Linked DNA regions of Mus musculus. The protein of the gene in region 2 purifies or fractionates together with the protein of the main gene of each other region. This does not show direct contact. Links are inferred from orthologs where the notes say so. Each region holds a gene or a part of one and is shown on either strand. Other genes may lie near its edges.

What was found. The genes of interacting proteins can lie anywhere in the genome.
Region 1: the proteins of Dpf2 (region 2) and Actl6a purify together in Homo sapiens (affinity purification with mass spectrometry; 5 studies listed by BioGRID and IntAct, counting the BioPlex papers as one, with this or other methods). This does not show direct contact. The link is inferred for Mus musculus from reciprocal best matches to the Homo sapiens genes DPF2 and ACTL6A.

The regions. Positions count from the first base shown.
Region 1 is NC_000069.6:32,706,760-32,711,511, forward strand, and holds the start of Actl6a (actin-like protein 6A), read left to right. Parts: upstream 1-1,786; 5' UTR 1,787-2,096; coding exon 2,097-2,121; intron 2,122-2,176; exon of another isoform or gene 2,177-2,583; intron 2,584-4,752.
Region 2 is NC_000085.6:5,905,954-5,910,176, forward strand, and holds part of Dpf2 (zinc finger protein ubi-d4), read right to left. Parts: intron 1,209-4,223; coding exon 1,048-1,208; intron 679-1,047; coding exon 571-678; intron 1-570. UniProt on the Homo sapiens protein: Plays an active role in transcriptional regulation by binding modified histones H3 and H4. Is a negative regulator of myeloid differentiation of hematopoietic progenitor cells. Might also have a role in the development and maturation of lymphoid cells.

The DNA.
Region 1 (4,752 bases), on a different chromosome or scaffold from region 2:
ATTTAAATGATAGTGGTTTAACTGTACTACTATATATTATAAAGTAAAATAATATCTCTCCAATTTTTCATTATTGGAACCATAGTACTTATACATTTATCATGTATATATCTATTTGAGGCAGGGTCTTGCTATGTAGCCAGTATGCATCCCTTACTGGCCTGGAACTCACTATGTAGACCAGGCTAATTTCAAACTCACAGAAATCCACCTGCCTCTGCCTCTTGAATTCTGGGATTAAAACTGTGTGCCACAATGCCTGGCTTGGAACCACAGTCCATAATAACCTATCAGTTTTATTTAGTCAAACATGAAAACATGACTGGAAATAGAATTGTTTTGGGGTGCTGATCGGCAGTGAGCACTGATCATGGGGACCACAGTACACAGCACTGAGGCAGGCTGTGTTAGGTGTTGCATACATTGAGAAGTAAGCAACCCCTCCCACAGGTCACTTGGCAGTAATGTGCTCTACATCTTAACCAGACACATCACCTCAGGCACAGCTGTGAATAAGCTTGGCTATGCTCCAGTAAAACACAGCACAAGGTTTCTGACATGGGAGTATCATAGTATTCTTAAAACTGTTTTTGAATCATTTAAAATGTAGTAATACACACACGGTGGCATGTGCCTATAATTCCAGTACAAGGAGGCAGAGGCAGGAGGATTACAACTTGGAGACTAGCCTGGCCTACACAGTGAGACTTTCTCTCAAAAAACCCAAATCCAAACCATCACTGTCAGCTCACAGCACACAGTGTCAAGTGAACGGGAGAGCATTTTCTTACTAGCGTTATTCCTGAACCTATGACAGACAGGTCAATTCCTGCCACCTTAATGGCAGGGAAATGGATGAGAGTTTATTCAACCCACCTAAGGTTACAAGTAGCCACTATGTAGCTAGACCCTAGACACTTCAATTTAAGCACTGCTACCAGGTACAGAGCTACATTACACTTGAGCTTTGGAATGGCAGGACTGGTTTGGGCCTTTGGTTATATAGATCAGGCTATCTAAGGCCTAGAGAAGCAGAGGGACAAATTGTTGCAGTAATTTGGGGTAAGAAAAGACAGTGTTCTGGGCGACACTGATAGAGATGTAGACTAAGAACAGTAGACACGGATTGGGGAGGTATTTACAAATGGGTGCTTCCTTGAATAGTGCTCCACTTGCTTGGTGAATGATTTTCACAGAAATGAAAGAAACTGAAGTCATGATTTTTAAATGCTATCTAAATCTAGCTGGAAAAATGTACTGTCTTTTAATATAAATAGCCATTGTTTAAAATGATGGATCCTATTATTATATCTGATTTGCTGATTAATTCAAAGTGAAGTGCACATTTCTTTTTCAAGTATAAATGTTAGTTGAAGTATTTCTGCTTAAAAAAAAAAAAATTCCGAATTCATCACAATCAAAGGCCAGGGATCTCTCCCAGGTAACTAACTCAAGTTCCAGATTCCTTGCACTCAAGTTCCTTTGGCTCCTGGGGAGCAGCCATCCTTTAGAACCAGAGCGGTTGATGGCCTGAGGCAAGCCTCTTAATTCCCAGTACCTAATTAACTCACTCTCGAAACCCGGCCCACTCCTGCACCAAGCCCCTCCCACTCGCCCGCCCACCTAAGACTCCTCCTACTCTATTCGCGCGCGAAGCACAGCTCCACCCACTCCCCCCGCCTTGCTCCTGGAAGCTCGGTCCACCCTACCGGCCGCTCGCGAAGCTCCACCCACCTCACCCGCCCGCGAAGCTCCGCCCCCTCCTGCCCGTACCCCAACACCTTCCCTTCTTCTGTCGCTTCTCCCTCTCCCTGCCCCTACGGATGCCTTCCATTGGCTAAGACGGCTAAACCGCGCGGGGATGCAGCAGCGCCACACTCTGATTGGCTAATGACTAAGCCGGACCCTTTGTCATTGGTTGATACGAGAAACCAGCAAGAGTGGCTGTGCAGCGGGCGTGCGGCCGCTGCTTTGTTGCCGGAGGGGGCGGCGTTGGAAGTTGCAGGCTTGCGGGGCCGGCGTTCTCAGGGAGAGGAGTCACGCCGCTGTTATCTTTCGTCCGGTAGTCTTCGGCCAGTCCCCGCCAGACAGTAGCCATGAGCGGCGGCGTGTACGGCGGAGGTGAGTGAGCGCAGCGGCGCCTCGGGGCGTGCGGACCGGAACGACCGGCCTGGTCCCTAGTCGCTTCCGTTTCCCTCCGGTCCTCGGCGGGCCCTTCCGGTCTTTGGACGGTGCTTCCGGTCCCCGTATGGGCCACGGCCTCTCCTTCTCTTCGGACCCGGGCCGGCGCGCAATAGGTTTCCGGCTTGTCCCGTCGCTGCTCCGAGATGGCCTCAAGGAAGGGCCTTGGCGCGTCTTACCGGCTGGGCTCTGATGGCAGTCCCTGGCACGCCGGGTCCCTCACTGTACCGGTTCCGCCGCGCGTTGGTCCCGGGCAGCTCGCGGAGGTTCCGGGCCCCCGGGGTTGGCACTGGGTGCGAGTGGCGCCCGGTGTTGCGGCTGCTGCTCTGGGTCCTTCAGCAGCCACTACAGCCTGGACATCGTTCCAGGCGTGCTCGGTCCCCAGATGAGCGGATCCCTGAGGTACAGGCTGCAGTTCTCCTGTCCGGCTGGGCGGGAGCCTTTTCTAGATCGGCGATAACGAAAACAAGGCTTCTAAGTACTGTTTTGTTTAAGAGTAGTTACCTAGTTAGAGACTCTCCTCTAGGGGGGATGTTGACAGGAGATGGTGCTGCCATCCCTCACGTTAACGAAGAAAAAAATATTGGCAAGAGTTAAACAACCAGCTCAAAGTTTAAAGACTCGTTGTAAATTGGGAGCAAATTGCTTCTGGGATGAGGCAGGGGTATTCCTTTCTCTGCCGTGTACAGGTAACACGCACCCATCAAGAGTTAAATAGTATCCTCACACTAACAAATCTATATCTGCATTGAGTCAGTAGATCTGTGCCCACTCATTTTAACTGCTGTGTAGGGTTTTCTGAGAATAAACTATAGTAGTTTCTCTAGGAACGGTAGTCTTTTCCCTGGCAAGAAGTGTGACAGTAATAATTACCGTTAGCTAATATTTATCGGCTTATTGTTTGTCAGCACTGTAAGTGCTTTATACATTAAAACATTCAAGGCATTTAGTCATCCTATCCTATGAGGTAAGTATTAAATACATTTTTCGGATTAAACTGTAGCAGAGAAGTTAGTAAATTACCCATCTCACATAGTGTATTAGTCATTTTTCAGTTGCTGTGATTAAAAAAAAAAAAAAAACCAAGAAACAAAAAAACAAAATCAGCTTCTAGAAGAAAGAGTTTACTTTAGCTTATGATTCCAGAGAGGTAAGAGTCCAGTTTGAGAGAGGTATGGCAGCTAACAGCAGGCATGATGGTGGGGCAGGAATCTGGGCTCACGTGTCCAACCTCAAGCATGAAGCAGCTGGAAATAGTGGGGGCTTTAAACTCAAAGCCTGTCCCCCAGTGACAGCTTCCTACATCAAGGCCCACATCTTCTAAACCTCCATAAACAGCACCACCAACTGGGGCCCAGATGTTTAAATATCAGCGTCTATAGGAGACATTTTCATTCAAACAGTTGCATATGCATCTCCTTTTAAACTAGGAATTTCTCCAAACTGGGTATGTCTAAACTAAATAGCTCTGTGATTCTCTTTGGGTGCCTCTTTGTAACTAGCACCAAACTGGGTAGATTGGGCATAGATTGGCTTTAACTAGAGAAACAGAAGAACTTTTAAGGCCTTAGCATTTGAGTAATGTAGGTAAGTAGGATTAGTGTTTTAAATTTTGAGGGGGACCCCATTGAAAAACCAGTACTGAGAAACCCAAGTGCATTATCCTAGGAGGCCTGCTGTTTGGGGTGAAGTATTTGGAAAATATACATGGAGGCTTTTCTCTAAATTAGACTGAAAAAGATTGCCAGCTTTTTTCTTACCACTAAACTGTCTCCTAAAGTCTGGAATGTGTAACTTAAATGATACGTTCATTAAATGCTTTTTACTTGGCCTGTATAAATTACACTCTAATTTCCATGCTGTGCAGTTTTCATATTTTGCTGTGTTTCTTCATTTCATGAAACAAAACATAATTCCCCATAATTGATGAAATTGTACTAGGATGTATTCGGTGGTTTTTATTTTTCTTTCCTTTGTTTGTTTGTTTGATTTGTTTTGTGCCACCAGATTCCCTTGCTGTCATTTATACACATCTTGTGCCTGTAGAGATGGCCTCTGGGCTTTCTCAGCCTCTGGTTTCAGCTTTGAACTTTGATTTGGTGATGGTAGGGTAACTATACTTTTTGCCTGTGCTTTTTGTTTTAGTATAATCGTTAAAAGCTGGTGTTCCCCACCCAAGTTAAAATGCCCCAATTTGGATGCTGCATTATAGAGTCTTCCTGGGATTGCAATCTGAGCTTGGCCCTCCCTCCCTGAATAGGCAGCTTAGCTCTGCATCATTCAGCTGTTACCACAGCTCTCAGCAGAAACCTTCTAGGTTCTGGGAACAGTTTCTTCTTGTTTCCTCAGTTTAAGGATTATGAGGGCAGTCCTTTGTTCATCCTTCTGTACCTGGACTATAGAAGTTTATAATTAGTTCCTTTAGTAAGGAAACTACTACCTGCTGTCAGTGTACCATGGCTTTCCTGATTAAACCTCCATTGATAAAACAGTATGACTTGCCATATTTTAATTAAATACATCTTGAAGGTGCATTTAATACTAGGTTCATGCCAGACATGGTGGTGCATA
Region 2 (4,223 bases):
TTGGAGGCTCTCACTGAACCCTGAGTTAGACTGGCAGCTAGAAGGCACAGTGCTGTACTCATAGTTTTGGGATTATAGGAAAATGTCGGCCAACTGAGCTGTTTGTTTGTTTGTTTGTTTGTTTTTCGAGACAGGGTTTCTCTGTATAGCCCCAGCTGTCCTGGAACTCACTCTGTAGACCAGGCCTGCCTCTGCCTCCCAATGCTGGGATTAAAGGCTCATCACTGCCCAGCACTACACTGATATTTTTGTATAAACTCTAGAATTTAGACCCTTGTGTTCACACACCAAGCACTAGGACACTTCTCCAGTCCATATTATTTTGAGATAATTTCATGATTTTGTTTGTTTTTTTGAGGCTCTGATGTAGCCCAGGCTGGTCTCAAACTTCCAATTAGTAGAGAATGACCTTGAATTTCTGATCCTCCTGCCCCAACCTCCTCAATGCTATTATTACATAGGAATAAACAACCATGTTCCATTTATGCAAAACTGGCTATTAAACCCAGGCCCTGTGCATGCTAAGCGAGTACTCTAAGCAACTGAGCCCTCCCACCCCCCAGCCTCTACCTGGTTTAATCGATGGGAAAGAAAGCCTGGGATCCTCAGGTGGGTGGGCTCGGCGCTTTTTCCGCCAGCGTCTGGCAGGATAGGAGTATAACTGTCCAGAGGCCAATCCTGTGGAAGAGAGGAAGGAAGAACAATTAAGCCCTAATCCAGCCCCAAAAAATGATGGCAAACATTTTGTGGATGAGAACTCTGTTGAGTTCTAGAGCAAGGGAGTGATACAGAACACGTGAGCCTGGGCCAGGTGGGGATACTTCATGGAAAAGAAAAACAGATATCAGCAGAAGTACGCAGCTGTTCTTAGTCATCGGGAGATCATAGCTGCTTCAGAGGCCAAAAACAAAGGCTGGCTGCTTCGTCCTCTCCATTCTCATCTACTGGGGTGAGCAGTGGAGGAGCCTTCAACTACCCCATCTCCTGAGGGACAACAGACACTTTCTTGTGCTCCTGTGTCACCTTTCCCAAAGCCTGAAACTTTACCTGGTCCCCGGTGTCGCTTTTCCATCCAGATATAACAATTGCTCTGGGCTACTCCAGTCTGTGAGTCCAGGAAAGGCAGGCGCACACTACGTTCAGCACAGAGGCGGGCGTTATAATTGTGGCACTGTTCCATGGCATCTTTGTAGTATTGCTCGCCAAGGCTGTAGGAAGGTAAAACAGAAGGTGGGGCCACGTCACCCTTCTTCCCTGTCAACTGCTTCTCTCAAAGGCTCAGGAGTCTAAGAGGCTCTCTTTTCTGTTATTTGCCTCCTATTCTGCCTCAAGGGACAAGAAGAACCATCACTAAGCTATCACACAAGGAAAGACAAGTTACTACGGGCTGGGCCAGAACCCCTAAATAATAATCATTGTGACACATGATTTTATCATGTGTATAATCAGACATAAGCTTTTTAAATATTTGTTTGTTCTGAGGCAAGGTCTCTTTCATTCTGCAGTTTAGGTACTGAACTCGTGTAAATCCTCCTGTCTCAGCCTGCCAAGTCAAACTTAAATCTTAATCCACACAGAGTGAAGCGTGGCCAAGGAAATAGCTGTGGTAGAGATCTTGTTCAGCCCACACAGGGCTCTGGATTCAATCTGCCACTACTGGGAGAGGGAGGGACAAGAAGAAATGAATTGCTCATTCTGTGGTTCTCATGTGTCCAACTCATGCAAGTTAGTATGTTACTCGTCTTACCCTAAGCATCTGGGCTGCAGACATTACTGTAGATAGTAACTTCCTCTGACAAATGGGGAAAACAGATCTAGAGGACTGGTCACAAGATTTTTAGCACACTATTAGTAGATTCACCCCTCAAAATGCTATTTGGTTAGTAAAAAAATGAAGCTCTTCCTAGTCACATTACCCTCACTTCAAGGCCAGCTGGGCTGCATAGCAAAACCCTGCCTCAAAACCCAAACTACGGGCGGTGGTGGCGCAAGCCTTTAATCCCAGCACTCGGGAGGCAGAGGCAGGCGGATTTCTGAGTTTGAGGCCAGCCTGGTCTACAGAGTGAGTTCCGGGACAGCCAGGGCTACATAGAGAAACCCTGTCTTGAAAAACCATTAAAAAAAAAAAAAAAAACTAGGCAGGGTTGGTGGCACACCTGTAATCCTAGCACTTGGGAGGTAGAAGCAATTAAGTCATCCTCAGCTAGATAGCAAGTCCAAGGACAGCCTGAACTACATGAGACTAAAAAAAAAAAAAACAAACAAAGAAACAAACAAACAAAAACAACAACAAATTATCATTGAGTTGGGCCTGGTGGTGCACGCCTTCAACGCCAGCACTCGGGAAGCAGAAGCAGGATCTCTGGCTTTGAGACCAATCTCATCTACAGATCGAATCCAGGACAACCAACACTAAAGAGACCCTGTCTCAAAACCAACCAACCAACACCAACCAACCAAACCAAAAACATAACAAAAACACTTGTTCTTGAGGAGGGCCTGTCTGGGTTTGGTTCCCAGAATCCATATAGTGGTTCACAACTATCCATCAACTCCAGGTACAGGGATCTAATTCCTTCTTCTGACCTCTGTGGGCACCAGGCATACATGTGGCACACATACATACAGGCAAAACATTCATACAAATGGATAAAATTTAAAAGCTCTTCAAGTACAAACGATCCAAAGGTGATTAGGGGGAAAAGAAAGGCAGGCACAGTACTAAGGGGTGTCATGGGATAGGACCACTCATGTATCCACAAGGTAATGTAATGCTCCAGGAAGAGAAATTCCCCAAGTTCCTCAAAGCTTTTACTAAGCACTAATACTAACAGAAAGTCTGTTACACTAAAGCCCATCTCAGGCTCTTCCTGTCACACAACTGACACCCAAAATTTTCTGGTCCTGGAGGAGGTAATCTGAAATCTGAGAGGGATTTTCTAAGTACTTTAAGAAAAGACGGCCAGGCGGTGGTGGCGCACGCCTTTAATCCCAGCACTTGGGAGGCAGAGGCAGGCAGATTTCTGAGTTCGAGGCCAGCCTGGTCTACAAAGTGAGTTCCAGGACAGCCAGGACTATACAGAGAAACCCTGTCTCGAAAAAAACCAAAAAAAAAAAAAAAGAAAAGACAAGAAACTGTAGAGCTAAGGGTTTTGTGGTTCAATGACCCCCACCTTGTTTTGGTACAAAAGAGTAAGCTTTAAGTCTGTAAGGACTCATAGTTATAATCAATCAATCAATCAATCAATCAATCTTTTTGTTATTCTGGGGCCCATATGCAGAGCCTCCCAAATGCTACATGTATTCTACCACTGAACTATATCCCAGTCAAATATTCAATCTTTTTTTTTTTTTTTTTTAAAGATTTATTTATTATTATATGTAAGTACACTGTAGCTGTCCTCAGAGACACCAGAAGAGGGAGTCAGATCTTGTTACGGATGGTTATGAGCCACCATGTGGTTGCTGGGATTTGAACTTTGGACCTTCGGAAGAGCAGTCGGGTGCTCTTACCCACTGAGCCATCTCACCAGCCCTCTTTTTCTTTTTTTGAGACAAGGTTTCTCTGTATAGCCCTGGCTGTCCTGGAACTCACTTTGTAGACCAGGCTGGCCTCGAACTAAAAAATCTGCCTGCCTCTGCCTCCCGAGTGCTGGGATTAAAGGCGTGCACCACCACGCCCGGCTCAATCTTTCTTAGATAGAGGCTTGTGTAGCTCATACTGGACTCAAACCCCACAGGCAGTCAACAATAACCTTGAATTTTTGATCTTCCTGACTATCTCCCCAACTACCACAAGCACTACCACATGCAGTTTTAGGGTGCTGGCTAATCAAACCAGGATCTCTTATATGCTAAACAAGCACTCTACCAACTGAGCCACATTCCTAGCCTCAAAAAGCACACACTGAGGGCAGAAAGGACTTCTTACCCATAGCATCCCGTTTACCCATAAGGTGTCTAGATCGCATCAGGGTGGATTTGGGAGTGAAAAGCCTGGCTTGGCTCTAACCACCACATGGACACAGCCATGTAACTAAGTAACCTGTATGAACCTCCATTCCTCTCCCATAGATTGGAGCAGTTAGACTAGATGAGCTCTGACCTACCAGGATTCTGATGAAGAGAATAGGGATAAGAATGCATGAAAAGCAGGAAGGAGTAAGGTCTCAGTGTCTAATGCTATTACTAAAGCTGTATCAACAAGCCCTAATGTAGACTCT